2 linked regions of the Caenorhabditis elegans genome follow. The protein of the gene in region 2 purifies or fractionates together with the protein of the main gene of each other region. This does not show direct contact. Each region holds a gene or a part of one and is shown on either strand. Other genes may lie near its edges.

The links.
Region 1: the proteins of mks-5 (region 2) and nphp-4 purify together in Caenorhabditis elegans (affinity purification with western blotting, with the first as the bait; one study listed by BioGRID). This does not show direct contact.

Annotation. Positions count from the first base shown.
Region 1 is NC_003283.11:11,830,261-11,845,637, forward strand, and holds nphp-4 (uncharacterized protein), read right to left. Parts: upstream 13,469-15,377; 5' UTR 13,366-13,468; coding exon 13,240-13,365; intron 13,192-13,239; coding exon 13,063-13,191; intron 13,019-13,062; coding exon 12,937-13,018; intron 12,543-12,936; coding exon 12,467-12,542; intron 12,418-12,466; coding exon 12,227-12,417; intron 12,178-12,226; coding exon 11,990-12,177; intron 11,821-11,989; coding exon 11,684-11,820; intron 11,623-11,683; coding exon 10,750-11,622; intron 10,552-10,749; coding exon 10,371-10,551; intron 10,329-10,370; coding exon 10,052-10,328; intron 10,044-10,051; exon of another isoform or gene 9,999-10,043; coding exon of another isoform or gene 9,674-9,998; intron 9,596-9,673; coding exon of another isoform or gene 9,282-9,595; exon of another isoform or gene 9,260-9,281; intron 9,126-9,259; coding exon 8,730-9,125; intron 8,551-8,729; coding exon 7,917-8,550; intron 7,872-7,916; coding exon 7,767-7,871; intron 7,761-7,766; exon of another isoform or gene 7,652-7,760; coding exon of another isoform or gene 7,491-7,651; intron 7,443-7,490; exon of another isoform or gene 7,442-7,442; coding exon of another isoform or gene 7,376-7,441; intron 7,314-7,375; and 37 more. Other genes in the region: col-158 (Nematode cuticle collagen N-terminal domain-containing protein), read left to right, coding at 1-598, 646-768; pho-8 (intestinal acid PHOsphatase), read left to right, coding at 3,385-3,564, 3,932-4,024, 4,074-4,229, 4,416-4,835, 4,881-5,000, 5,106-5,240, 5,287-5,391; R13H4.2 (uncharacterized protein), read left to right, coding at 6,150-6,160, 6,465-6,543, 6,713-6,835, 6,880-7,121, 7,223-7,284, 7,491-7,651; idpb-5 (Intrinsically Disordered Protein, class B), read left to right, coding at 9,282-9,595, 9,674-9,998.
Region 2 is NC_003280.10:10,717,912-10,733,016, reverse strand, and holds mks-5 (Protein fantom), read right to left. Parts: upstream 12,787-15,105; 5' UTR 12,739-12,786; coding exon 12,737-12,738; intron 12,561-12,736; coding exon 12,435-12,560; intron 12,068-12,434; coding exon 11,768-12,067; intron 11,689-11,767; coding exon 11,556-11,688; intron 11,502-11,555; coding exon 11,134-11,501; intron 10,821-11,133; coding exon 10,560-10,820; intron 10,229-10,559; coding exon of another isoform or gene 9,848-10,228; intron 9,192-9,847; coding exon 8,897-9,191; intron 8,846-8,896; coding exon 8,675-8,845; intron 8,438-8,674; coding exon 8,219-8,437; intron 8,037-8,218; coding exon 7,818-8,036; intron 6,525-7,817; coding exon 6,255-6,524; intron 6,102-6,254; coding exon 5,652-6,101; intron 5,605-5,651; coding exon 5,501-5,604; intron 5,455-5,500; coding exon 4,985-5,454; intron 4,820-4,984; coding exon 4,493-4,819; intron 4,072-4,492; coding exon 3,901-4,071; intron 3,850-3,900; coding exon 3,767-3,849; 3' UTR 3,688-3,766; downstream 1-3,687. Other genes in the region: glb-12 (GLOBIN domain-containing protein), read left to right, coding at 1,455-1,493, 1,640-1,906, 1,966-2,051, 2,123-2,222, 2,751-2,978, 3,032-3,112; C09G5.14 (C2H2-type domain-containing protein), read left to right, coding at 9,848-10,228; C09G5.13 (DUF19 domain-containing protein), read right to left, coding at 13,438-13,632, 13,727-13,796, 13,846-13,987, 14,105-14,214, 14,522-14,625. UniProt on the Caenorhabditis elegans protein: Thought to have an important role in cilia formation and cilia-mediated chemosensation. Involved in the docking of other MKS/MKSR proteins localized to the transition zone of the cilia.

The sequences.
Region 1 (15,377 bases), on a different chromosome or scaffold from region 2:
TGGAAACGGAGACGATGCTCTCGGAACCGGAGGATGTCCAGCTGGACCATCAGGACCACAAGGATCTGCAGGACCTGACGGAATTCCAGGAATTGATGGACAAGATGGATTCCCAGGAGAGAATGCTGAAGATTCACAAAATGCTCCATTTAATGGATGTATTACTTGTGCTCCAGGAAAGCCAGGATCTCCAGGAGAGCGTGGAAAGCCAGGTCTCCGTGGAATGCGTGGACCACGTGGAACTGGAGGATCTCCAGGAACCGATGGATATCCAGGACGTCCAGGAGAGATGGGACCACCAGGACCACCAGGAGACGATGGAAAGCCAGGATCGAATGGAGAAAAAGGACAAGATGTCGAGCAACCAACACCAAGAAAGGGACCACGTGGACCACCAGGAGATTCTGGACCACCAGGACCAGAAGGAGACGCTGGAAACGATGGACCAGTTGGAGCTGCAGGAGCACCAGGACCAGACGGAATCAACGGATTCCAAGGACCAGGTGGACCACCAGGAGAGGAAGGAAAGCCAGGAGAAGATGGAAAGGTCGGAGACGATGCTGCCTATTGTCCATGCCCAGACAGAAACGCTCCAAAGGTAGGATAATCATTAGAATCTAAATAACACTTTTCAAAACTTTCCAGGAGAACTACGCTTCTGCTCCATCCCACAACCCATCAAATGCTCCAGGAGCCAGTTATTCTGCTGGAACCGGTGGATACTCTGGTGGCACTGGACATGCCCAAAACAGCTATGGAAAGAAGTAAAAGCGAGACACTTAATCTTGCTGATTTATCATTTCTTTCTTTATTTTTTCAATTTTTCACACTATTTTACTTGTATTCCTATCATGAGCAACTTTCAAAAATCGAGCATCAGCGGGTTTGAGTCGAGCCTTCAAGTGGTTGAGTCGTCACTTTTTTCGAGCCAAAAGTCTTTCAATAAAGAATTCATTTTTCAAGATTTCAACCGGAATATCACAAAAAATAAAAATTTGCAATGAGACAATTTGAAAATCAGGAAGCTTCGAATGCAAGTGTGATTGAATATGCTTCTTCTTGTACATAAGTCTCCGCATCTGATATATACAACAATGTCTGAAATACTAGAATGTAAATATTTAAATGATTAGTTAATTACCTCTATATTCTTTTGAAGATGTGTATTCTTCACAAAATACATTTCACATGGAAGTTTTCCCATAGGTGGAACTGACAACAGACTATCCGTAATTTTTACAATATCAGAATTTGATGTGGTGATTCGGAATGTCTTTGGTAAACCATATGGGTTTCTTATCGGGATTCTCTGAAAGAAGGGTTTTCGTCAAAAAAAGGTTATGACCCCAGATTGGTTTTTTTTCTGTAAAATCATTTAAATAAGGATTTCTCATATAAGCTTAAATTATACAATATCCAAATAGGTTTATAACCCTAGAAAACGCCATATTCTAAAGGACCTCACTTTGTTTTTTTTTCAAACTATGTAAAATTGAAATCAATTGAGATGAACAGTTTCTATAATATTAATGATTGTTGTAAGAGCTTTAGACTATTCTACCAGGAAAATAGTTGTACTTCGTTATTTTATACATAAACTTCTTCGACAAATTTTTCACACTCTAAGAAGTTGAATATTTTTCATTGACTTATTAGGACTGTCAGGGAAATGCTTAAAGTTCTCGGAAACCAACACAGAGAACACACATACATTTGAGTTGTTCAGTCCATCGGTTTGTTTTCAAATTGAAAAAAAACCTCCTTATAGTCTAAATTTGAATTTTGTTATCTGTTGTTTCTCTGATTCATTTCAAATTTTAATTATTTGCTAGCATGACAATGAATAACAGTAAACAAAAACATTCTTACTGTACACAAATTTTGAAAAAATGTTATTTATTTTAATGTTAGATGTGTTTAGTTTGAACGGATTTTTTACCTTATTCTGAAAGTTGTCTGTTGCATGCTAGCCAAATAAAGAAGTATCATGAAAATCACAGTTTCATGCCCCAAAAAAATTAAATTTAGTGAGCGATTTTGACTTTAAAAAATTCTTGTTATTTTAGTTAAAATAATAGTTTGAAATGTTTGGAAATTACTGTCGATCCAAACTAAAAATCTTTAACATTCAATATTATATAAATTCAACAAACCTTTCTAATAGCTTCATCAGATGATGGAATTTGTATGACAAACTTCTGCGTAATCCGTGGCGCTTCAGACTTTCCGTAAACCAAAAACCCTCGTTCTAACTTCAATGTATTGGTATTCACAACAGAAACGACAAGCTTCTTTGTTCCTGAAACAACACGTGAGGTCATGAAAACGCGGGGGTACTAATCGGATGAGTTTGTGAAATTTGGAATTTTAAATGACTTTGTGGATATTTCTCGCCTGGATGCGCCTAGTTTGCACGTGGAATCAACTATTTTTGCAACTATACTGAACATTTTCTTCATGGCTCTGATGTATGTCTAAGAAGATTAAAATGCAAGGAGAGATAACATTTTTGCGTTTTTTCGACCGTATCAATTTTGTGAGCTTCATTTTTTGGATGTATTTGTTCGTTTTTTGAAATAAATGTACTTATGATCTTTCCTAACTTTCGATTTATTGTCATTTCTTTATCAATATATATATTTCAAACAATTTTTTTGCTGAAAAGCAATATTCGGAACAATTCGATCATAATTGCATTCTGCAAGTTAAAATTGTGTCCCTAATGTAAGTTTCCTGACGACTTAAGAACATGACAATTAAAATTAAGCAATAGATGTATGTAGATTATTTTTTGATTATAATGGGTTGAATAAAAATGTATTCAGTTACATGGATTCAAAGAGTAGTAGTCATAAATAAACTCGCGAGGTGCTAGGTGAGGTAGCATATTCGAAAATACATAACTTTGTAAAAAATGCTAGAAAATACCACAAACATCATCGATAAGCTACCAGCGAATAGAACATTGGCGGGCACTACTGTTTTTTGCTGCACTAAAATTTCAAGACCGATCGACAAAATTCTCCGTATTTGTTTCCAAATTCGGGAACTTCAAACCCAGTATTCGTTTTAGATAAAAAATCATTTTTTTCCGTGGGAGTAAAATGTTAACTGATAACAAAACTTCATACAATTAACAGTCTTTCGACTCCTCCCCACTTTCACTTTCTATTTAAATCCAACTACACCGCACTTTTGCTCTATTTTGGAACATACTCGTCTCAATTTCGACGACGTCAAAAGAATCAGAATTTCCGTCATCAGATAGCGTGCGATTCTTGTATGTAACCTGATAGACCTGCATGAGAACTCGTCCCCTTTTTTGCGACTTTTCTGTCCGGTATTCACTTTTTCAATTTTTTGCAGAGATTTCTAGACGACGTGATGATGTTGATACAAGGACTTGTCATATTTCTTGCCGTGTTCAATAATATAGAATCTAGGAAACTTGAGTTTGTACAAGCACTGTGGCGACATGGAGACCGTGCTCCTCTACACTTACCGTATCCAAATGACCAGTACACAGAAAAAGCTTGGTCAAGGGGATGGGGGCAGTTGACTTCGGTTTGTTTTATTAAACTTTTAAAGAAATGTACTTGTTGAATATTTGTGAGTTCTTACGCGATCTTCTATCATATCACAATAAAATTATAATTACATTTAATTTGTTTCAGCTATAAAGAGTGACCTAAAAAACGGAGCAGAAAAAATGTTTAACATCTCCCAGTGACGCTCAAATAACCAAATATCACAGGAAAAGTGTCAAAATTTTTGGTTATAAATTTTGGATATAGTTTTTTAGAACTGACTATAAATTATGAAAATCTCAAATATCTTATAGTGTTTTAATTAGTTTTTCTGATTGATTTCAAATACACGTTGACAAAACCTTCACTGGCGCTACTTTGCCTTAAAAACCTATTTATTTTAGATTGGAATGCAACAACTTCACGAGCTCGGAGAGTTCTTCCGACACCAATACGTGGACTCTTCATTTATTCCGTCTAATTTTTCAGTGAAAGAAGTAAGAAACTCAATACCATATCTGTAAATTAAACTCTTGAAATTTGTAGGTCTACCTGCGCTCTTCCGATTCTGATCGTGCTTTGGTATCTGCACAAGCATTTCTTTACGGGCTATACCCAGCTTCTGGTGGTTATCAATGGAGCTCAGATATAGACTGGCAACCTCTTCCAGTACATGCATCTACTCCAGGAGAACCTGATTTGGTAACCGTTGATTTTTAGATTTAAACTAAAGTTGTTCTTATGAGGTTTTATCACAAATGCGTCAGAAAGACAAAAGAGATTAGAAAGTACGTAAGAACAACTGATAAAACATTTTGAAGCCCAATTTCTATTTCCGGAGAGTGACTATTCATTATAGACTACATTTACTAAGATAAACTGATTCAGGTGTGCAAACCAACTGCGATAAAATGTGCTCGTCATGAAGTTTTAGTGGCTCAAGGCGATCAAGAATCAAACGCTTATTATAGTGTTAAGTATGCAGACTTCTTCAGTGAACTTTCTCAAACTACAGGATTCAAACACTGTTCATATATGGATATTAATGGATTATTCGATATACAAAGAGAGTTGATTCATAACATGACTGCAAAACAGCCTTATTGGGTTACACAAACCTGGCCTCAATATGACAATCGTACTTCAATGGACATTATAACTGAAATGAGGACCGTTCGAATGATGAATCTATTTAATTCAGAAGAGAAAGGAAAACTTGAAGGAGGCTCCGTTCTTTACAATTGGATTCAAAATGCAATTGCAGTTTCTGAGAGCAGAAATGATCAGAGAATGCTTCTTTATTCTTCGGTAAAATCTAATGGAAACTGAGAAAATCTATTATATTAATTTCAGCATGATGGTGTTCTTCTTGCACTTCTCAATGCATTCCGTGCTTCAAATGAGATGATGGTTCCTTATGCGGCTGCACTTATCATGCATGTTTATTCAGACAACGGAAAATTTTATTCTGAGGTTAGTTGTTCAATTGAAATAAGTTTTATTAGGAAACTTGGTTAACAAAAAATTATTTATATTTTCTTTCAAATTAATGCTGATGGTTCATTTTAATTTATTCAGCTCTACTATCGAAATGAGACTACATCGGATCCATACAGAATTCCGCTTTCCCGATGCCCGGAACCTTGTGAAGTGTCGCAATTGGCAGTGGCTTTTTCAAATATGACAGTTACAAACTACTCGGATATGATGACGGTAAGCATAATCTTCTCATTATAGACCAAAGTTCGCATATTTTCAGTTATGCGGGACTCCTCTCAAAGCATGTGGAAACTCGTCTTACACGTTCAACTCTTTATCATTTTTCTTACCATTTCTCTTAGCGAGTTTATTTTATTCAAAATGAACTAGATCTTAACATTGGTTCCCATGGAACCATTAAATAAATTATTGCTATCTTACATTTTAAATGGTTAATGTTTTATAGAGCAAATTTAGAAAACCCAAAAGAGTTGAGTAAAGATTGACGACAAATATCCTTGGTGTATTTTTCTCTATTTTTGTGTGGAATAACGGTATTGCTCTTTGCACTTTTAGATATTGTAAATAATTTTCTGAACATTTAACGGGTAAATAGAAACGTTTTCATTTTTGATTTGACAGTACGCAAGTGCTCATATGTATATCACATTTTGTTGTATTAAAGGCTTACCAATAAAGTTTGGTGTAAAATCAATTGTGGCTGTAGGTGTTCTTTCAGTGAGCACAGAATCCACAACTTTCATACATCCAGATGCTGTATACACTTTCAGTAAATCATCTGGCACTCCATCATGCTCGCTGAAAATAAACAGATAAAGAACGTAATTCCTATCATTTTGTTTATTGTTCATCTATTCTTCATTTTTTGTGTGTTGTTTTCTTCTGAATCCCCACCAGATGAGAGTGTGGGAGAGAAAAAGAGCGACCAGGTGTTGGAATCCAAGCATTTTTATTTTTTGTTTTCTTCCCGCGGGGACCAAACAACTGGCACATCGTCCTCCTCCGCCTTCGCAAAAGATTAGGAATCAAGAAGAGGCATGAAAGATAGAAAATAGAAGAGGACAAGAGAGCACACAAGGGGCACATCTGCCATTCAGAAATACCGACTCAGGCGCCTGCCAAATGGTTTCCAGGTTTAGTTTCTTTTAATTTTTGTTAAAACTTGAACTTTGTAGTTCACACATTGGATATCAAAAAGTGTGATTTATTTTTTAGTTTGTGCTACTTCTATTTTGTAAGGTGTGGAAGGTTAAAAAACTAAAATTAATACAAAGATCGTCTTATAAGCGCAATGTTGATGGTACCTTTTATTTATTTCGGGAAATGCAATGAAACTCCTATTTATGTATTTTGATCAAATTTAAGCTCTCACTTGTAATTTTTTATTATTTCAATCTAGTACTAGTACAATACTAAAATTATCAATTACAATTACAGTATGACCGACTACGCCTTGGTGCGCTCTCGCAGCGCACTTGTCCGTTCTCGATCGGTTGAACCGAGCTCTCGTCTTTACGTAAGTTCACTTAAATCCTGATTAACTATGAACTGATCAAAAACCTTTCAACTTCTGGTTTATCTCTCTCAATAATGTTACACAATCATCACTTTAGCCCCGTTGGCACCAGGTGCCAATTAAGAGATCACGCGTGAAGGTAACAAAAACAAATGCATCATTTTTCCAGGTCACCCGCACTTCATCAGTCCCAGACTTGACCGCTCACTTCCGTTACTCGGATAAGTACCGTCCACAATGGCATACTGTCTACCAATCGACTCCATACCGCTGGCGTCGTGACTGGGATTTGGTATGAGATGGCTTTCTTTTATTTTTTGAGAATTAAAATTTCAGTACGATGACTACTGGTATGACAAATACTATTACTTCTCTCCACTTTATCGCAGTACCTACTATCCAAGCAGAAGATATTCCTACAGTGATTATCTTCCAAATCCATATTATTGGAACAACTATGGATCTTATTGGACTCGCTACAAGGGATATTGGTATGACTATGACTATCCATCCTCTTACCGTCGATACACTGATTCTGCTTTCAACCGCTACTTGAACTACACCTACACCCCGTATAGGTATGCATAGTCTACAAATTGAATAAGATAAATATGTTTTCAATAGCCAAGTTTTCAATCAAATCAAAATTATTTAAACCAAAGAAAAATTCAAATTTCAGATCGTACTTGATGGACTCATTGAGCACTTCCCTTTCTCGTGGCCTTTCCATGTACAAGGCAGGTTTGTACCGGTATTGACCACTGTCTAAGGTAGTGTAGAGACAGGGCAGTGCCCATTACTTTTACCAAATACAATTGTTGCTTTATTTTAGAACAATTTGGCAGTTTACGGTACTACTAATCCTTTTTCGCCGCTCTATCTCTACACTAGATATTAATGTGAGCACAGGCTTTTGTAGAAATTTTCTTTAAAACATTCAATTTCAGGTCTAATCAATCACACTACTCTTGATGCTTACTGGTTAACACCAAAGTACTGGGATCGTCGTTTTAAAAACTGGCGTGAGCTTTATTGCTCCACCAAGGACAATTATCTTCCATCAACGTACGATAGAAAAACCCGTCAGTACTTTGCACAGTGGGCTTAATGAGTGGCGTGCTTCTAGTGTTCAGATTCTGCGATCGACTCTTTTTCTCTTTTTTTTTGCATTTATACGAACTCTCATACTTTCTCAGTAATAAAATTTAACTAAAATGGCTTACCTTCTTCTGTGCACTAATAAATGAAGACGAGTTGTTTGCCCAACAATACTACGAACATCAACATTGAAGAATGGAAGAATAGTGATTTTCCAGGTAGCCATTAATCTGAAAAGTTGTATTACAATAAAATTATTCCACTAAAACGACAACCTTGTTTGATAATGATCACTATACATCAATAAAAGAAACGTCTTTCGATCATTCGTTTCCCCTGAATATGTTGTGAATCCAACAATCTGTTGTAGTGTCGCATTTCGAACAGTCAGTCTTACAGACGGATCAGAGCATCGACATGACAAAACTCTTCTGTCTCTGGCCATTGGTGGTAGTACTAATTGTTTTTCCCAGTTTCCAGATGTTTCACAAATAAAAGTAACTGAATGTTGAAGAAGGAAATTTCTTCGATGCACGTGGAGATCCAATATTGCTAGTGGTTCTTTTGTATCCCATCTTCTAAATACAACTTTTGTTGAGTACATGTTGAATGCATCATTTGGGAAAAAGAAAGCGTCGTAGATAAATGGAATAAATAAAACATCCCCAGGTTGAAGACAAATCTCAATTCTATCCGTTGTTTGTCTCATCATTTGCTTTTCTGATGGAGTTGTTACTTTGTTCACTGTTTTGTAAAATTTCCATTCTTCTGCATCAAATACTGGTTTCAAAGCTTCATCATCAAATTCAATGGTGCAATTGATTGGTTCAGAATTGTAGTTCTCGAGAGGAAATTCAAAAAATACTTTCTCTCCAAAACTGGGATTTATTTGGTGACAACTTGTAATACCTGCAAACAAAAATATTCGAACGAGAGTGTTATTGAAAATTTGATTTAAGTATCGATAAAATTAAACAAATCTATTGAAAAAGTTACAGATAAACTGAAAGCGTATGGAATATTGGTAACCATTGTATTTCGGAACAGTTTTTCAGACGTATTTTTAATAAATATTTAAATCATCTAACCTTTGAAAACAGCTTCAAGAAGTTTTGCAGGTTTACTTTCATATCGAAGCTTTTTGTATGCAGCTAGCTCTTCTTCAAAAATGAATTTCTGTGCAATTTCTTTATTATCAGAAAAGTTGAATCCTTCTTTTAAATCATTCCATTGTCTGATCTTATCCAAACTATTCTCATTGAACAATTGTTCATGCCGTTGTTGAATATCTAGTCTCTGAGCTGTCAAAAACCGATCTAGTCCAACACCACTATTACCAGGTAATGGTTTTGCGTGAATTCGATAGGAATGGGGTCCTTCTTCATTTAACCGGATTGATGACGTCAGTCGGCGGACTACTGTACCTTGTCCAGAGTTTACGTTGGATCTTGTGGTAGTCAGCGATGAAGAGGAGGAGGAGAGATCTGCAAGTTTTTGACAGATTATGAATTACGATTAGGTGATAAGCAAACATGTGCAAACAAGACACGCGCGGATCTGCCGGAAGTCTTCCGGCACCTAAGGTTTGTATAAATAAGACTCTCAGCCGACTGAAGTTTCATCAGTTCCCATAACTCATCATGCAATCCATTCGTTTTACACTTAGCCTCATAGCTATTCTTGGTTTGTCCTATTTAGTTCAAGCACATCCATTGAGCTCTAGAGAAGCTTTGAAGTCTTCTGAAACTACTGATTTGGCTCTACCTGGATCACATGAAACAACCGAAGTAGCTCTGCCAGATGTCAAAACAACTGATATTGATACTCTTGGAGAATCAAATGGAAGAGTGAAACGTCAGGGAGGAGGTTGTGGATGTTGCGGATGTGGATGTGGATGCTGCTGTTGCCGTCCACGTTGCTGTTGCTGCTGTCGTAGATGTTGCACTTGTTGCAGGTTTGTTGTTTTCATTGAAATTATGAACTTTTCAATTATAATTTTATTACCTTCTTCCAAATAATATCTATATTTCAGAACTTGCTGCTGCACCCGTTGCTGCACTTGCTGTCGTCCATGCTGCTGCGGATGTGGATGCGGATGTGGATGCGGATGCTGCGGATGCGGAGGAGGAGGACGTAAGCGTCGTTCCCTCCAAACTCTCAAGATCAAGCTCGCCGAGAAGGTTCAAAGAGAAGCTAGACAAATCGAGCAGATCCCAGAAACTATTGCTCCAGTTGAGATCACTGAGAACGTTGAGACTCCAGAAACTGTTGAAGAGAATAAACCAGAAGAAGTCGAGACAGCTACTCAATGGCCAGAGCCAGTTTACGAGCTTGTCACTGAGACATGGGCTCACTAATTTCCTTTTTCACTTATTTATCTAATTTAATAAATAATTTTGAAAAATATTACCATATGTATTGCCTGACGGAAATCCGATATTGGCAACTCTCATGTAAAGGAAAGCCCCAGCTTTTGATGAAGTGTCTAAAGATGTATCAACCACTGGGCATTGAATAAACAACTGAACAGCTTCCCTTCCTCTTCGATACAAATTCTTGATTGGCACAATAGTTGATCCCAAGTGAATCAACGAGTCTGAATCCCATACATCAATAGTTGCATGACCAGAAGCCATAAAATCCAAAAAGTCAGCCTTGCTTTCTTCTCCTTCGATTATATATTTTGCCTGAAACGTTTCTTTTTTTAAATGTAAGACATGGAATCTTACTATGAATCCAGGTGAAGCTATAACATCCGAATTCCCATTTTTATCAAGTCGGGTTAAAAGGGTTGGTTCTCCTTTCTCCATAGATGTGAGAAGCATTGACTCTGTTGTAATATCGGGGAATCGGTAAAACCCGATTGTGAAAAATAACTTCTTAATCATGCGAGCATCAGGAGCAGCAAGTCTAAAATGTTGTAGTTGTAGTTTTTTTTAAATACATACTGTTGCGTTTGACCTTGAAAATCTAGTCTGAATAGAAAAATATAACAATTTTATGCGATAAGTAAATTGACCCCAAGCTCAAGAAAATTAACTACTCAATTGAAATATGATTGTCGTTCAGTGACTTCAGTCATTGAGAATTTTTAAGAATTCAACTTACTGTTTGAAAGCAATAAATTGAAAATATACATGTGATGTAATGAGTCTGTCCAATTGCTCTCTTTTCATATCGATGATGGTTTTTAGTGTCACATCTTCAGTATTTGGTGGTGATCCGTTCCTGTCTTTCAACTGAGTGAAGTTTTGTCTCGCAAACATGGAATGGGCAGATCTTGGGAAGTTTATTGGTTTGAGCTCATCAAAAGGAATCTTGTAAACTGATGTTATTGGTAGAGGTTCTTCTACTGGTTTCTTTGCAACAACTACGTCTTGAACTGGAATTTCCATTGGTTCTTCTATGAATCTATTCAAATCCTCATTTATTGATCTCAATTCATCTACTGATGAAACTGATCTTCCTGTATCTACTAGTGCAGGGAATCTATTCGAATTTTCTGGACTTCTAGGAGTTTCTATTTTCACTGATTTTCTATTTGATCTAGCAGATTGGCCATTATCGCCTGATCTTCCAGTTTGAACTCTTGCAGAGTCAGCAGCCCTTCTTGATGTTGGTGTATTGTGAACACTTCTTCCATTTTCATAAAATTTAAAGTCCACAAAAATTTCAAGTTTCTCATTCAATGGCTTCAAGGAGTCTGGTTGATTCAATACGTTCTTATAACATAAAACGCCTTCTGGATTCGGACGTGGACCACCAACAAAGCTAACTCGTGTCTCCACTTCTTTTCCAGAAAAGGCTCCATCTGAGAATGGAGTCCATGCAGCCCATCCGATTAGAATAGTCTGATTAAGGCTTTGATTGTCTTCTCGGTGAAAGGTGTATTCAAGCAAGAATATGATAGCCATTCTTGGATCCGCATACAGATTTCGAAGTGCCAGACGCGGGTTTCCAGCAGCTTGAAATAGCAGTTGTCTGAAATTATGAAATTATGAAAAATTCTTCTTTTACGACAGGACAAGATTTTAAAACTTACTCTTCCCAATTTGATGATTTCCCAAAGTCAATAGGTTTCTTTCGCGATCTTAGAGTATCACCAGCATTTGAGGAGATTATTTCCAAGTCAACTGTGAATGGTTCAGTGACATATGTGTACCCATTGTGTACTCCGATCTAATAATAAAGTATAAATAAAAAGATAAACGATTACTTGTTTCTTGCAAAAATATTTGAAAACCTGGACGAATTCAAAGTAATGTAAAAATGATTCCTAAGTTTCACTGCACCTTCCGTGTAACAGCAAATATCATGTTTTTAGCCAACTTTTCACCAAAAAACTCACTCTCAATTTTCTATCCATTATGATTGCTTTTGGTTTAAGAGTTCCTCCTTCTTTCAATGCCCATTCTTTTTCAATATCATGTGTAATTTGTTTTTCTAATTCAGGTACATTATTCTTGAATTGAATTACAATTGCATCAATTGCAGCGGGAATTGTTGGCATCTCTTTTGGCGTGCTCAACCACCATTCTGACACAAAACATTAAAAAATTAAAAAAAGGAATATTTGTTAACTAACCATCAGAACTGTCTTTGATTATTCCAGGAATAATGTCTTTGTCGCAAACAATGCAAAATTCAGGCAAACATTGGAAGAATATGGGTGGCATTTCGAATATGTTGTATGTACATTCAACATTTCCAACTGGTTTTAAAACTGTTTCTTTATCAAAAATTAATAGTTTTGGAGTTCCACCAAATATATCGAAACTAAAGTAATAAGAAAAATTATGTTGGAGCAATAATTAAAAAAACTCACATTTTAGTGTTTGATATTTCTACGGGCGTTTTCTTCTCGATATGCGTTGAAAACCATCCAACGCTTGTGGCAGGCGCTGTAATTTTTGTACTTTTCGGGTTTTCGAATGTTCTTCCATCTAGAAAAGTTTAAAATCTAATTTATTTATTGTATTTGCCCTATGCAAGGAAGAAAAATGTTTCAATTAGTGATTTCCAAATGTTTATTTTTAATGCGAGTTTATTTTATCGTGATATAAAACTTATGTTAGTATAAATTTACTAAATTGTGCATTATTTTGAAACATATGGTCATAATGATTCGGAAAATTCTCTGAATTATTGAGAAGTTATTTAAAAAAATAATGACTGAAAGACAAATAGGAGCTAAAAAGCTATTTTCAAATATTATTTTGAATGAAAAGCCAATAAAACATTATGATAAATAAATTTAAAATGTTCCTTTAAAAATTTAACAATTAAATAACTTACTTATTTCGTCTGATCCTTCTTCCACAAATTCAAGAATAAGAAGCACATCTCTGCTGTTTATAATTGAGTAAAAATATAATGTCTGCAACATATTCCAGTTATTAAACAAACTTGTACAATTTCTACTTCATTAAAAACACAAGTTCCATTACTATTCGCTGGAATCCATTCTGTTCTACATTGCCTCCCAAACATTTGAGAAGTCTTCGTGTCGAATAAAAAAGCACTAATCTGGTATCGAATGTTCTCAGTCAGCTAAAGTATTAAAATCATATATTAATTAATTATATCGTTTACACATACCTGTGGAGATGTCAAATTGGAAATGAACATTGAATAACACAAAGCTTTAGTTCCTCTCGAAACATTACGTTTCATTTCAACTGGCCGGTTTGCCAGAAACAACGAATACCAGTCGTTGACCGACATTTTTCGAGACTTTGTTACCACAAACTTTAGTATTTTCAGCTAGTTTCTAGGCAATAATATATAGAAACTAAAAAATAAACGTTCAAGAAGAACGATAGAGGAAATACGATAGAGAGTGAAAAGAAGGAGTATACGAATTGGAGAGCGGGTGCTGGTTGTCATGGAAATGAGAAGTCCCAGCTGCTGGGAACACGTTGGATTACGTATATTGAGCATTAATTTGATGTAATGTGTAAATTGTTGGGAAATGTTTATATACTGAATAGTTTTGATTATGCTATTGCATTTTGTATTGAGAGTCGTCGTTAGAACAAGATTAGATCAAATCACTTGATTTTTTTTTCGAAATTTTTTTACAGAAAACTAAGTACTTTTCTATTTTGAAATGTTGAAATGATGCCGTTATCCTTTAAATAAATATAAATCACAATTTTCCACGAAGTATGGTTAGCCACTTTGGATGAGAAACTCCAGTTCCTTTCTGGAAACAACTCACAACTAATTTTTTTTAATTGGTCAAAACTTTTTAAATGTAAACTGGAAAGGTTCCTAAAAATTACTACCTGGGGTCAAGCTGAATTGAGGAACATCTTGGCCACACTTCGTAAAAATTCTATAAGTATCTTAGTAACTCCAGTGAAAAAGTTCAATAAGCCGGCAACAGTTACTAGATTTCCGTAAATTGTCTATGAAAGTTTAGACAGGAGAAACCTCTTAAAATTGGGACAAAATAGACTCTAAATCAAATTATTATTGAACATATTTTTACAATAGCACAGATCGTGTTGCAGTGATTAATAATGTTGTTGATATCATCTGAGAAAGTTCAGGTTCTCAGAAAAATGCAATCTCAAAAATGTACTTTCCCTGATTTTTCCTAGTTTTTTTTCTTTTTTTTCACTTCAGTTCACCCCCGCGATTCAAAGTTTACAAACAGCTGCTGCCGTGTACAAAACGTGATTCAGACTTCTCTATGACTCAGATTCCACTTTTTTGAAACGAGAAATTGTTTCGGTCGTATTCAAATTTAAATTTCAATACCCAATATAAGAATATGATGATGATGCATCAATTCACTGTCCTTCCATATCCCTCAGAATTATCCCTCGAAATCTCCGAATAAGACGTAGAAGACGTCAAAACAAAAGGGAAACTTTTTGTCCCTTTTCCATCATCTTCTCAATACTCCTTCCATAAAAGTCCTTTATTTCCGGGGCGCACACTCACACGCTGCTGCTGCAGTTGCCCCAACATAGGCCATACGTACCCAATTTTATAATCCATGGGAGTCGGGCAAACAAACTCAATTCGGTCATCTTCTCCATCTGTCGAGTCTCTGCTCATCCCGAAGGGAACCGTCCTGCTTCCGTCCGTCCCAATGTCTGTGTCTCTTCATCTCCATTGACCAGTGTCCTTGCCTCTTCGTCCTCTATTCCCGCCGCTCGTCCGTTCTTATACCCTTCTCTCCGCTCACTCGTCACCCGCTGACTGACCGACCGGCCAACCCGACTGAATCATCATTTCTTTATGTGTCTTCTTTCTCTCTATATTTAACAGTGTCTTCGTACACCGGTTGATGGTGCGGAATCATCGTTTTCACCATATTCACTTCTCACTCGCAAATACCTCAAAAGTTTGCTTTTTGTGACTTTTTGGCTTCGCAACTTTTTTATTTGAAAATTTTTGAGTGTGAAACATATATTCAACATGGCAAATAAAAACTAAGTTTCTTCATTTTCGGTCGAAATTTTAATTTTCGAATTTGTTTTTTTCTTAAATTTTATTTAAAAAATAGTTATTTCCTAAATTGCCGGCATGTGAAACATAATCCCCTATTAATTGTTTTGTTTTTTCGTTGAGTAAACACCCGAAAGGCCTCACAGGCCCCACCACACTTGTTTCTCGCTATTTTGCGAAAGGATTTTTTATTTTTTTCATTGAAAATTTAATTTTTAATTTTTGAAAAGTTAGAGTAAAGATTTTTATTTTATATGAGTCATTTTCTCAAAGAA
Region 2 (15,105 bases):
TAGATATTTTCAGATATTCTGGGTGTCAAAATGGACATAGTATTCGTGTATAACATGTTCTCAGCTTTTAAAAAATATAAATTTCAACCCAAAAATCGCAATTTCATTTTTTCTCCATTTTTTTGGAGGCAAACGTCCACTTTGGTTTTTGAGAGCGGAGAACGATTTTGGAGATTAACCAACATTTCTGATAAATTCTTTAAAAATTCAATTGTGGACTTAAAATACCGTGGTTTAACAAAATTTGAAGTGAAAATGTTTAAAAAAATTAAATGGGCAAAAATCAAAAATTTGAGAAAATAACCAGAAACTAGGAAGCCGGTAGACCATGAATTGCTACTGCCGTTTATAAATCTGCCCCACCAGCAAACTATGTTCCAAAATAACTTGAATTCAAACTCCACAAATTTTGTCCCGTTCCAGAAATCTTTGATCCACTGAACTTTTACGTGCACCTGTTACACTTTTCCCGCCGGATCTTGAGTTCAAGCTTCTAACAAGTAATAAAACAGCCTACGTATAAATACATTTATAACATTAACATTCGAAAAACCAATAGTTCACCTACTTCCTTCTCTTCCCTTATTATTTCTTGTCAGAACTCTCTACTATAATTTCGCAGTTTTTTGTCACTTTGTTTATCCCACTTCTTCGTATTTTTCCCTCTTCTGCCTTCTTCTCACTTTTTTAAAGCAATCATTTGGTTATATTCATACTTTCTATAAGTTTTTGGGAAGAAGAACACTGATTTTTGATATGCGTCTTTTCTTTCGGAAAAGATCCCCGAGAAAACTCAAGTCTAGTCTCAGATTTTGACAAATTTAAGTGTTAAGCTGACAAGGAAAAGTTTCGATTTTTTTAAATGTTTCATCGAAAATTAGGATTTTCAAAAAAGCTCATTTTAATAGGTCCCCACAAAAATTATACTGCTTGGAAGCATTTTAAACAAGGCAAATTAGATTTAAAAGATTTCTCAAAATCTACAGTTTTTTATTATGCTTTGGGTCATAGGAAAAGTTTGAGATCTTTTCAAAACAAAATTATTAACCCTAAAAAATCTAATTTTTTCCACAATGAATATGGCTAAATTTTCAGTTAGGATTTATTTGATTTCCAAGATCTAACTGGCCATTTCCACAATTTAAGCCAAAATTCAAATTAGTTTTCAGCCTTGTGAACGCGAATTTATGTTGCTCTGTTCCCCGTCATCCCATAAAAAATCAGCCGTCTTCCGTTTTATGACTACTTCAACACACAAAAAATCCAATCATCATTCCATTGCCACGTCATAATTGAGGCTTATTCAATTTGTCTTCTTCATGTTTACTCACTCCTTCTCCTTTTTCAGAGTCTTTCAATTTCAAATTTTCAGAACATTTCCTGATTGAGGTGATGAGAAGTTGTGCTTAAGATTTTTAATAAAACAAGTATCGTTATAAATCTATATATTTTCAATGGGTGCCACATTATGTGCACCGAAAAAGAAAAAAACCGTGAGTTTTGAGCTTGATTCGGAAGATGAACATTTCTCAAAAATTTTTGGATTTTTTACATTCTTTTCAAAAAAACAGTACATAAGAATAGAGAACTACAGTACTCTTTAAAGACGCACAGAACATTTTAAAAAATTATTTTCCAGCAAGTCGGAGCATCTTGGGTCGGAAACGAATCTGAAAATCCATTTGACTTAGCCCTCAATAAAAAAGACCGTACTCTGTTACGTGAAACTTGGCAAAGGCTAGATGATCCGAAGGATATTGTTGGTCTTATATTCTTAGATATTGTCAATGATATTGAACCGGACCTCAAGAAAGTGTTTGGCGTGGATCGGGCTCCGCGAGCCGCGATGCTGAAAATGCCGAAATTCGGAGGGCATATTCTAAGATTCTATGAGTTCATGGAGCAGGTTAGCTGTCTAAACTACATTTTTAAGAGTATTTTTTGAACTCAAATTTATTATTCCAGCTCACGTCAATGCTTGGCACGTCTGAAAATCTGACGGGTGCATGGCAATTGGTACGAAAAACGGGAAGAAGTCATGTCAGACAAGGGTAAGTGCGCAGGTGCAAATGCCGTCACTTTGTATGATTATATAGTCCAATGCCATTTGATGATTTTTCAGTTTCTTGGAACAAAATCAGAACCAGATGGAGAAGAACTATTTCGAAATTGTTATAAATGTATTTATCGAGCGATTAATTCCATTTCTGACGGGTGAACAGGTGAGATTGTGGGATCAGTTAGGTCAAGCTAGTTTGAAAGTTCAACTAATTGATTTGTTGGAAGGTTTATTTGGAGTACAACTCAATCAAATTATTTTCTAATAAAGGAATTAATTGAGCTTGATTTCTGAAAAAATCTATATAATTCGAAAAAGAAATTTTGCGGTCGAGAAGCATTTTGAAAATTTTCCCGAACGTAGATTAGGATGTTTGTGAGCGAGGAAATTACTTGAGCTGTTTTCAAAAAAATGTTTGTTTTTCTTTTTAAAAAAGGTGCAATTTTTGATCCAGTTGGGCAAAATAGTTGCGGGTTTTTTCAAAAAATTAGAATAATATTTTCAAATAAGTATTTTTAAATGTTACTTCAGATCGGATTTTTTAGTTCTTTGTGATCCTCTTCCTATAAATTCTTGTAGATACCTATTCGAAATAAGATTGTTTAAATTAAATTGGTTTTTTTTTCTAAAAAAGTTCATAATCTCCCCTCGTAAAACAAAAAACCTTTTCACCCAACAAATATGATTTTAGGAGCTTCCATCATCAGAAGGAAAAGAGAACAAAAAAGTGCGATTTGCTCAAAACTACACCACATCTCAAATCACAGACGTCTGGAAGAAGTTCTTAAACACAGTAATTAGTCAAATGACTGACTCATTTGAATTGGAAAGAGCAAAACAGAAGAGTGCACAAACAACAAAAGCCTTGGCTCCACATCAACATATCGAGATTTCGGAAAGGAAGAAGAAGAGGGTGGCGGTATGTTATTAGTTGATATCATACATTTGTTAATTTGATATTGGCATTTTCAGGAAAAACAAAGCGAGATTGAAAATACGGCAGTTTCAAATGAACCAAAAGCTCAAGAGCAAATGTTCGAAGATCCATTCTGAAAGTATATTTTTATAGTGATATACCATATAAAACATATTGACACTGAAAAAACACTGATAAATAAAACTGATTAAATTTATTGAATAAATGATTTTTTTTTGATTTTGTAGCACATTTAATGCACAAAAATGAGCTAAGCTTTTTTTGCTATTGCGTCACACAAAGACATGCAATTTTGGAGACAAAATAGCATTGCTGAATTAGGTTTAGATACATTTTTATGTGAATTGAAAGTCAGAGCCAATTACGTTATAGGCCGATTATTTTTCGAGTTTATGTATATGAGGTTTTATCCTCTTGAGGATCTATTCCATTTCGGTAAGAGGATTCAAAAAAAGTCAACTAACAAATCACTAAAAATTCAAAATACATTTTTCCGTCGGCAACATTTTAAAATCGTAATTATTTTGCCAAGATATGATAGTTACCTAAGCGTTTTTTGTGCTGTAAGTAGGACGTCAAGTTTGAAAATGCAAATTTCATTTTTCACCAATTTTTCAAACGATGTTAAAAAAGAGTATAGAATATTGCTTAGTTTGCTCTCCAGCAACCACAATTCACGATACTGAACAAGTTTTTTTTTAACCAAAATATTTATTAATTTGTTGAAAATATAATCTAACAAATTATTTAAACCGTATTTTTCAATTTTCTCAGGTCAATTGTTCAATTAATGCTCTTGAGAAATGCAATGTCAATGTCATCTCGGCTTGCACAATTCCACTCCGATCGTAAACTGAATTTGAATTCAATTATAAGAATGAGATACTTACGACAAATGACTAACCATCAATTACAAACGATTTGTTCTGTGTGTTGTTTGGCACTAAAATCAAACTTCCGAAGCCGAGCTCCTCTTCGTCGCCTGGACTGATCTTGATGATGGTTAACTCAAATTTGATGCTAGCACGGATCCATTGATCGAGAAGAGAAAGTTGACCACGCGTCAGGGTGTATTCTGAATAATTGAGATTATCGGGGTTAACTTTAGAGAGTGGCATTTAAGTTATTTTCTAAACGTACTTCAAAAAAAAAACCAAACATTTTAGAAGAATTTTTGAATTTTATTTTTTCATCCTCTGAATCGCCACATTTCAATGAACATTAAAAAAATTAATAATGTTTCAGTCAAGCTCTGAGATATGAGCTCTTGAAGTTGAGCTCTTGATGCACCATGTTCAAAAACTAGGTCCTCCAACTTTAGACGTTCATATCTCAAAAAATTGTCACAAAAATGTAAGTGCTAAAATATTTAAAATTGAATGTTCTATATTTCTGCTTAAAGAATTGTTTCAATACCTTTGAATTGAACTGGGGCCATAGATATCAAGCAGATAAGTATTTTATACTTCCCATAAAAAATCTCAAAAAACTAATACCTTTTGTATATCGAATATCCACCATTTCTTGTGGTCTTCTCGGAAAATCAAATATCGTACTCTTCGACTGCTCATTCGTAAAATCCAAAAATACCCAATCAACGAAAAACGTCGTCTCTTCTCTTGTCAATGGAGTCAGACTTGATCCGGGAACAAGTTCAAATGTTTCCAATTGTATTGAAACTTTCATATTCGGTTCCAGTACATCTTTGTCGGTTGGTGACAACGGTTTTCGCACTTTGATCAAACTATGCCCTTCATAATCCGGCAGTGGAACAGGTGCTTTTTCGGCGCGACGTGGTGATGAAGTTGACGAGGATTCAGATGCTGAAATTCAAAAATAGGGATGTGGAAAAGAAATTTCTATTCGAGGGTTTGCGGCTTCTATTTAATATGCAGTAATAAAATAACTAGAATTCGACTTTGAACACGTTATAACATTTGTGTCAAAACATGAAAAGCTATAAAAATTATTTGAAATCATCAACTCACGTGGAACTGAAAAATGCAACGGATCTGTGAATAAAATTCTTCCTGTTGAACCTTGTTGCCTGGTAGCTTCTGGTTGCTCAGTCAACGCAATTGGTCCAACCGGTATATTCCTGGGTTTTGCAATTGGAGGGAGAGCTCCAAGAAGGCTCTTGAGCTCTTCGGTTTTTAACTCTCTTTTTCTATCTTCCTCGGTTTCAGCTACCTCGTTAGGCTCTGATTCCACCACCGGCTCTGGTTCTGGCCCTGATTCTGGTTCTAACTCTGGATCTACAGGTGCCACGTCATCCGTCTTATCAACAGATCGTTGTGTCACTGGTGTAGACTCCTTACTCTCGTTAGTACCATTTGGTTTCAAGGGGTCTGATGGTCTTGGTGTATCCTCCGGAGAAGGAAGGTTTTCTACTTGTCGCTCTGGAACTTCTAGAGGCTCGGGATCTCTCTGGGATGATACTGCTGACACCGACTCTATTCTGAAATTAAAAAAATGCTTTAATAACTATATTAATTAAAAATTACTCGTCATCATCATCATCGAATACAATTCTATCAGCTTCTTCTTCTCCATCGGAATCAACAAGCGCAGGTGTAACTGCGGGTATCTCGTAGTCGTAGGTTTGGGGCTAAAATAGAAATGTGGCTTCAAATAAATGCTGATAAATATTCTTACATTTGTTGGAGGGCTAAACAGATCTTTTGAGCTATGAGAGAATGATGTATCTGATGAATCTGTTGACAACCTTCTGAGCGGTGCAGTTGTGGGCTCTGGAGCTTTTGGAGGCATGGAAGTTGGCTCAGCATCATGAAGTTCAGCTTCTTTAACAGGCGTCACCACAAACTCTTTGGATGTTCGCCTGACCGGTTGAGGAAGGATCGGAGTATCCTTAACTTCTTTCAGTGGTTCTTTTGGTTCATGTTTCAAGAAGAATGATGGGATTTCGTGTTTCCAAATTAGACAAAGATCCAGCGATACAGAGCTTGGTCTCCCATCGGTGTCAAGCATTGGGAATGTTCCTTTTATAGATCCACCGAGCTTGCAAAGTGGATGAAGTGGAAGGTGTAAAGTGGCAATGACACCGTCCTGTCTTGGAATATTCTCGATTAGGAAGAAGGAGATACTCTGGAAATTGAATGGGTTTCTTTAAAATCAAACAATTTTTTATAATTCACAGTTATAAAAATTTCAGATGTTTTTTAATGTGTTCGCAAAAAATTGCCGAAATCCCTGGTTATAGTTATAGCTCCTGAATCAGAAACTTAAAAAAAAACTCACGGAAGTTGCAAACAAATTCCTTGCGATATCAATCTTTGGGATGTAGCAATCCCGTTTAGATCTTATTTCAGAACTTGTTGAAAAATCGGTGAAATACGGAGAGAAGGACAAAAACTCGTCGACGATACAGAATTCAGTTGATGGATCTTTTCCGAAAGTATCCAGTCCGACAACTCGGTTCACCATAATTGTCAGTGGGTCGAAATTAGTGTCTTCTGTATCCTCATTTTCAAGTTGCAGTGGGAGCATATTTCGAGCCATTTCGCTTTTCTGAAAATGTTTTTAAAAAATTATATTGGTTTATGTTGAGAATATATGATATTTAAATATTATGTACTCTCCCTCATTAGTATTTCTCATAAAAGTCTTTAATCTTACCAATTTTTATTAGAAACATTATGAAAGACAACAAATACAAAAAATAGTCACAGAAGAAAATAATATTGAAACCGGTACAAAAATATTAAGAAATGATTAGACAGAGTTGGACTTGCGGAGGTACAGTGGAATACGAGATGAGATGGCTGACTTTTCGGTTGTGGTCTTCTTCTCCTTGACATATTCTGGCATGTAGAATGGATTTGGGACAAGATTTTTTGGAGCAGGAGAAGAAAGCTTTGAAGATCCAGCAGATGAAGACACGAATTCTGGGTCATAGAACGGATTGACAACCGATTGAATTGGGCTCGGAGAACCGGAAGATGAGCCAGACGATGAAAAATTGCTGGACACTCCAGAGTCTGATTGGCATCCATCAGAATCGTAGTTGCAGTTGTCTTCGGAATAGTATTCCTCCATTGCCATTTGCTGCCGGAACTCATCTTGGCGAAGCATCATGAAATCTGCCATTTTTCGAGCATGCTCATCAAGACAAGATTTCTGATGAACATTGAGCCGTTTGTTCCGTGGAAAGAATTGGAACCGACTGGCATGGCAATAGTAGAAATATACAGGAATAGAAGTGTAGTCCATTTTTAGAAGACGACTGTAGAAACTAGCGAAAGGAGAGCTAGAGAGCAAACTGACTGGAAGATAAAACCAGAATGAATGATATTTGTTCCGGTTTACCCAATGGTAAGGTACGGTAAGCCACACCCCTCGATTTGCGCGTTCCAGAAAGACACACCCTCCCTTACAGTCATCGTCTCTCTTAAGGTGGAGGTAGAAGAGGTGGGGGATGGTTGTAAATCCAGCAACAATCGTGGGAGAAAGAACACATGATAGACTCTGCAGGAAGTGGAAGGGAGGCTCTGGGAATTTGCGATGAACTATAGAATAACAATATTGGAATGGAGTAGAAATAATAAGTTCATAAAAAAAGAAATACAGTGCTTCCTCTATTGGTATTGCACCTCACTACTTCACTATAAATCTCGGTTCATTTTAACGATGTCAGGAAATAATTGACTACAATACAATAGAACAGGAGATAACAAATAATTAGTCAGTTAGAAATTTTTTGTCTAGAACATATGCCAACAGATTTATAAGCGGCAAAGGAAAACAAGTCAACGTTTTACAGAATTTATACAACAGGTACAGAATTCCAAAAACCAATCTCACCTTGAATTTCTTAAAGCTATCAGAAATCGGTTGTGAAACTTCAATTTCGTATCTCAACGTGCACATTTCGACGCCAGTATCCACGGATTTCAGCATAATTTCGGAGCAGAATTTTCGAAGAACACTGTCCTCAAACAAGGGAATAAGGGAGATTGTGGCAGCGGCTAAAAGCTTGTAGCAGTCACTTGCCGGTCGGTACATTTCGATGACTATTCCGTTCTGAAAATTAAATTATTGCATTTTTTGTAAGGGAATTGGAGTAATTCGTTTAAAAAAAATTGGCTTCAGATTATTCAAGTTCTAAAGAAATTTTTTGGAAAGTTTGAATACCGAATTTTTTTTCTAATTAATACACTTCTTCATGTTTCAAACATTTTTACAAAATATGAAATGTAACTTACCGTTTGCAAATAATGAATCAAAAGATTTGAAACCAAGACATCATAGACCGTTGTGAAATCCATATTGTGTTGCTTTGCATCCATTATCGGAGTGGTTTCTAATTGGAAGTCAAAGAATTCCAAAGAGAAGAAAAACTTGGACGTGAGAGATGGAGATGGCTTCACATTTATTAGTTTTACTGATAAATCCGTGTTTACTCGAGGTGTTGGAATGTTAATCTGAATAACAAGTTATATTTTTAGTAGGTTTTTTTTTAAATATTTTCCTCTAATAATTTTTATAACAACTTCTGTCCAAAATGTATATCCATGCACATACAGAACAAAGTTTACCACAGTTACTCTGACATAAAAACACTCTTGAAAGTTTTGAGGTGGAATATCGAAACTGTTTAAAACCGCTCCTATAGTGCCAAAATGTTCAACCAACTTTTAAAATGTTCTAGAAGTTATTACCTGATTTGCCAATAGCTTAACAGGCTGTTGTCCTGAATATGCTATTGTTCTTATTTGCTCCTCAAGCATGAATATCTTCTTTTGCCTCTCTTCAACTTCCTCCCGTGATTTTGAAAGTATTTCTGCGCTGACTGTCTTCAACCTGTCTAGTTCATCTTTGAGCAGTTTTATCTGGAAATTGCTTTGTTAAAAATACTTTTAAAAATTATTGACAATTTTCACCTCTTTCATTTGTTTTTGATTGATATCATATTGAATCAACAACATATTTCTGACTTTCTCGAGTTCTTCGTACAGCTCAGAATACAGTTTTTGCCATCTTGCAAGACTATTTTCACTAGCTCCAAGAGTATTAATTTCAGCGATTCCAACATCATGAGAATGTAGAATATCAGCAACTTCTTTATATAATTTTTGAAGAAGATCATCGTCAGCTCTTCGCATTCGACTTATTTCACTCTGTGAATGCCGTTTTCGAATTGGCTCAAATGTCATTGGAGGTGGGGAGTGAGAGATCCTGTAAATTGAATATCTCGACTAGTTTTTTCATTTTTCTCAAAAAAGCAATTGATAGTTGTTTCAATCTATTACATCAATTTTTGTTTCTATCGTTGTCAAATTTTGGAACTTTTACTAGATGTAAATTACCGGAACTTGGCGAAATTTAAAAGCCCCTGTGAATAAGAGAAAGTATTTTTGAAAATGTTTAATTTTGAAAAACATTTGATTTTTTCAACGTAACATTATCTAGTGTGTACTTTTTAAGCCTTATTACGGCCGGTTCTATTAATAACTTTGTATGCAATCTATTTTTGCGTACTATCTTCAGATTCAATTATATTATATCATTTTTGGTTCTAGATTTCCTAGTCACAAACAGCATTGTAAATCCCAATTGTTTTTGATTCTCACGACCCTTTTCCCTCTCCCATGATTAGTGCTTGATTTACAACCATCCCCCACCTCCTCTAGCTCCACATCTTTATAGGAAAGGGAGACGATGACTGTAAGGGAGGGTGTGTCTCTCTGGAACGCGAAAATCGAGGGGTGTGGTTAACCGTACCATACCATTGGGTTAACCGGAAGAAAAATATAATTCATTCTGGTTATATCTTCCAGTCGGTTTGCTCTCTAGCTCTACTTTTCTTTGCTTACTTCAGTCGTCTTCTGAAAATGGACTACACTTCTATTCCTGTATACTTCTACTATTGCCATGCGGGTCGATTCCAATTCTTTCCACGGAACAAACGGCTCAATGTTCATCAGAAATCATGTCTTGATGAGCATGCTCGGAAAATGGCAGATTTCATGATGTTTTGCCAAGATGTGTTCCGCCAACAAATGGCAATGGAGGAACACTATTCCGAAGCCTACTGTAACTACGCTTCTGATGGATACCAAGACTCTGGAGTTTCCAGCAATTCTTCTGGCCCATCTTCCGGTTCTTCAAGCCCAATTCAGCTGGTTGCCAATTCGTTATATGACCCGGAATACGTGTCTTCATCTGCTGGATACTCAAGCTTTCTTCTCCTGCTCCAGCCAAGCTCGTCTTAAACCCATTCTACATGCCAGAATATGTCAATGAGAAGAACACCACAACCGAAAAGACAGCCAGCTCATCTCGTGTTCCACTGTACCTCCGCAAGTCCAACTCTATCTAATCACTTCCTAATATTTTTTGTATCGGTTTCACATGTATTTCCTTCGGTGACTTTTATTTTTGTATTTATTTTTCATTTAATTATTTAATACTCCCAATAAAATTGGTAAAATTTACAATTTGCTTTTTCAAGTGCTCGCAGAAATATGCTACAAACATGAACAATGTTGGAAAAGCTTCTCACACAAATCAGTTTTCATTTAAAAAAAAACCAGAAAAACTTACTTTTCCTCTTCTATCCTTTCCTCCTCAACTTTAGAATTCTTCGCCACTACCGAAAGTTTCTTCTCTGTCTTCTTCGCAGCATCGTATTTATTTTTATAATGCAATCTCATAGCTTCAAACTTCTTCTGATCTTCACGACGTCTGTGTTCACTTTCCTTGATTCTTTTCTCAGTCTCTTTAAGAAGCTCCTCTAGCTCAACAATCTTTTTCTTTTCTTCTATACTTTCCCGTGCTCCGTACTCCGTAGATTTTGATAGGGATCTGGAAGAAAGCATATAATCAATAAAACTAGCATGGTTAATATTGACAAAAATATATCGTCCATTATGTGAAAATGTGTTTATTACGATTTTCACAAAAATACTTTTTTAATAAAACCATTTTCATTTGAAAACATCACCTTTGCCTTGGCTTTAACAAGAAAAAGTTGTCAATTGACAAACTCGTGATTGGGTTTACAGTGGTGTAAATTTAAAAACTAAAGTACTTGTCAAAAATGATGCCATAGTATTTTTTGAACAATTTTTGAATTTGGTAAGGGATTTTAATAATATCCGAATTGATAAAAACTTACTGATGCACGAGCCGCTCGTTCGCTTTTTTCACTAAATCACATTCCTCTTGCAGCATAGCCAAGTCATTCTCAGCCACTTTCAGCTTATCCAACAGCACTTTTTCAGTTTGATCTGGGATACGAGGTGGTGGTATCGGGTTTTTCGATGGTTCTTGATGTGATGATTTTCTAGATTTTCTTCTCGGCTTTTTCTTCTCTTCAATAACTGGCGTGGATCTTCCCGACTCGTCATCACTCATTTCTGACATTTCTTCAAGTTCTGAGTCTTTTCCTTCACCGTCATTATTGTTGTTGGAGGAAGATGATTTGGAGGATGATGATGTAGACAGTCGAGTTGGAGGAGATGACTGATTTACAGATGATTTTAGCTGAAAGTTATAGATATAAAATCAATAAAAAACGAAATTGGAATGTAGGCATACCTGTCTCAATTTTTCAATTGTATATTTTAACTCTGTAATTTCGTCATTTTTATTCTTGAGAGTTCGATTCAATCTGACAATCGCGAGCTTCTCATCCGTAGCAAGTTGCAGTTTTTCACCTCCATCAGATTTTCTGAAAAGAAAACAGCATTGCATTAAGTTTTATTATTTTTAAGAACATTTACAGTCTAAGAAATTATTCAAAATCTCACTTTCTTGCCACCGGAGCGGAACCTGGCCGATCAATAGATCCAGTAGTTCCAGCAGTTAATGGAGGTCGTTGTCGAAATGTTGATGGTGGCTGACGAAAAGTTGATCTTCCAGTCATCATTGACGCAGTTGTAGCTCTTGCGGATGGTGCTGTGTAGATCAAAAGTTGTTGTTTGGCTGCTTTCAGTTTCATATCAAGAATCTGATTTTCTTTCACCACATCGTCATATTTCGAACGTTCCACTACTTTCTCATTTTGGCTTTTTCGTTCCAACATACTTCGGCGAAATCTGCTATTGAATCTGGAACAAAGGATGGTTACTGTGGATGGATGTTTCCGAAAACTTCAGATTAAAGATGGAGTGAGCAGTTACGTTAATATCGAAACAGACCAACTTCATATTTTCAGGTTTTGGAAAATTTCAATCAAGTTTCTGCAAGTTGCCAAATTTACGGAATCTAAAGGTTTTTGAAAAATTTGAAGCAATCTCCATTTTCCACCTATTTTAATACGAAATATGAGTTGAAAATAAAATAAAATCGAATGTCAATTTGCAGTTAGAATACGCATTCACACAAATTAGACGTAGGTATTTTTTTCAAGACATACAGGCATTTTTGTGCCTACGTAAAAGTTCTATTCGGAACAAATTGAATACATTTACTCACGTTGTAATCTGTTTCTCCTGCTCTTTAACCTTCTTTTGTGCCTTGTTGAGCTCTTCAACAACATTGTGAAAGTGGTCTTCCAGCTGTGGGCGGCTCCATTTTTCAATAGGATACCTTGCGGATACCCTGGAATTTTGTATTATTATTATAAGAGGTTTCAACACTTTAAGTCTCAATATTATCTCTCCCTATGCCGTTTTTCATCAATTAAAATAAGACTCCTAACAACATTTCGATAACCTAGAAAGAAGATGCAAAATCTAGTCCATGGAAAGTAAAAAAGGATGAAAAGAGATACTCACATTTTTTATAATCACTGCAATTCCTTGGAGACGTCAGGTTAGCATGAAGTACGTATGAGAGAAATAGAGATTTCAAAACGAAGAGGAGGGGGGTACTTTGCATGTGGTTGCCATGAGCAACCATGTGAGGACGGGCGAAATGGGGAAGGAAGAAGTAAAGAGGGATTGATTAGCACGCTTGTATGCGGGAAACCTTTCCGTTTAGTGAGAAAGGGGGTCACGGGAGGATTAGAAAATGAGAAAGCACCGGAACACCTGCCTAATTGATGCTCCATTCTCGTATTCGGCATGGTAATGAGAATTTAGTCTTATTTCAAACAAGTTTTCAAACTACCGGTGAATATATAGACTCGAGTCTTTTCTTTTTCCCGCCACGCAGCAGTAGCTGGAATTGTTTCCAAAATATAAGAGAAGTCCCTCAATGTGGGGTTTAGACAACTGCCTACCTGCCTGATTACATGCCTGCCTACGTGTCGGCCGACCCGCTTTGCATGCCTACAATAGGCAGTAACTGGCGAGTAGTGGGAGACTCGCAAAAAACCTATACATGCCTTCCATACTTGCCTACATGACAACCCCATATACATCACATCTCTCATATAAAAAAATGTACTCTCATAGTCCGTGTTCAAAACTTTATAAATCTCATAAAAGGAAAAAAATGCTCATTTATTCACAATAACTTGATAAGAAGAAACAATTCAAAACACAAACGGAAGAAGCAAAAGAATAATCGATATGGTGATCGATGCAGCATTGTTATTATTGTACCGGTCACTTGATGAGGTGTCTCTTCGCAATTGATTGTACTTACATGAAGCTGGTAGCGTATTCCAACGAATTTTCAGCATTTTGAACATTGCCTCCCGATTATTTTCGAACATTCTAGCAGTTATCTGGAACAAAATAAAATTAGTTTAGATGAATTTGGAAAGTCGGCAAAAAATTGCCTAAAACTGCATAAATTTAAAGAAAATTTAAAATCAATACCACTTCACTTCGATAGCCGCAATACTTCCCGTGCTCCTGAATAAAGCAATGGGAAAAATGCTCAAAGTCGCTGAAATATTTTCCAATTTAGAAAAAAACAATTTCTGTTCGGGACTTACATGCAAATCGTTTCAATATTCTCTTGAGTCTGATTTCGGGCAAACTTTTGCATATCCATTTCCAATCGAACTGTTTGATCTCTGCACACACTTGAGAGCCGCTCACCATTCTCCTTCCAACACGGGAATTGTGCACGGACCTCTGAAAATGAAATGGTATTTTTTAAAGCTCCAGGGAAACGTGGAGGAATTTCAGGTTTTTAAATGGTCTAGTCGGATTTTCCCCATTATAGTTACATTGAAAAATGTTAAAACTAACCTTCCAAATTATTACAAGCATCGTGCCAAGATCGAATACCGGCCAAAATGATTGAAGCCTCTTGTGATGTATTGCATTTTCTGACACAGATCTCTAGAAAGCGATTGCTTCTGGAAAGTAGAAAAACTAGGTCAACTTGAAACATTTAAAAGCTTCCAAAATCTCAATCACTAGTTGTCTTTTTTAGAACATTTTTAAGTTGTAAAACCCCAATTCTGGGTAATGTGCAACTAAATTGCTGTACGAATATCATTATCGTGAATCCATTTGCCAATTCTCCACCACCACCAATTTCGTCACCTCATAACCCATTTCATAGAGCATCATCATCTAACCCTCTGCACTTGTTCGGAACACGTCCCCGGAGACATCAAACGGATATGGGACAAAACGGGGTATTCGAAAGTGAAAACATACGTGCAAATAGCCTTGGCCTTTATGAAAGCGGCCGTCTCGTTGCCAGTCGTTTTGAGAAGATTTAAAAGTGGAAGAGTGAAATCGTGAGACCATTCGTTGTCCATCTGGTTGAAAAGTTATTAATTTAAAAATGTTAGTTTAGAAATTTTCTAAATGTTTTTTGCAAGATGAAGTGTTTTCATTAGAAAAAAGGAAATATAAAATTTTTTGGAAAACTCCCAGGCAAAACCTTTTAGAAAGAAGTTTTTTATGATTTGAGCATTCCGGTTAGGTCGGCAGTTTCGAGATAAGCGTATGAACCATGGCTGTGCGGCAACCGAGATTTTCGGCAATCGGCAACCAGGTTTCAAAGTTTTTTTTTGCTAAAATTATATTTTTGAGCGTTTTGGAAAAATGTATGGTCCGGTTGCCGCACAGCCATGGCATAGACAGTAAAATTGCGTTAAGCCATTACTAAAAAATTGTGTGTACTTTATACGCCAAAAGTTTACAGATGTTTCAGAGTTTTTGTCAGTTTTGGTAAATCACCGAATTTCTAATAATTTTGCTTTTTGAGAAATCTTGATCAATGCTGCATATTAGAA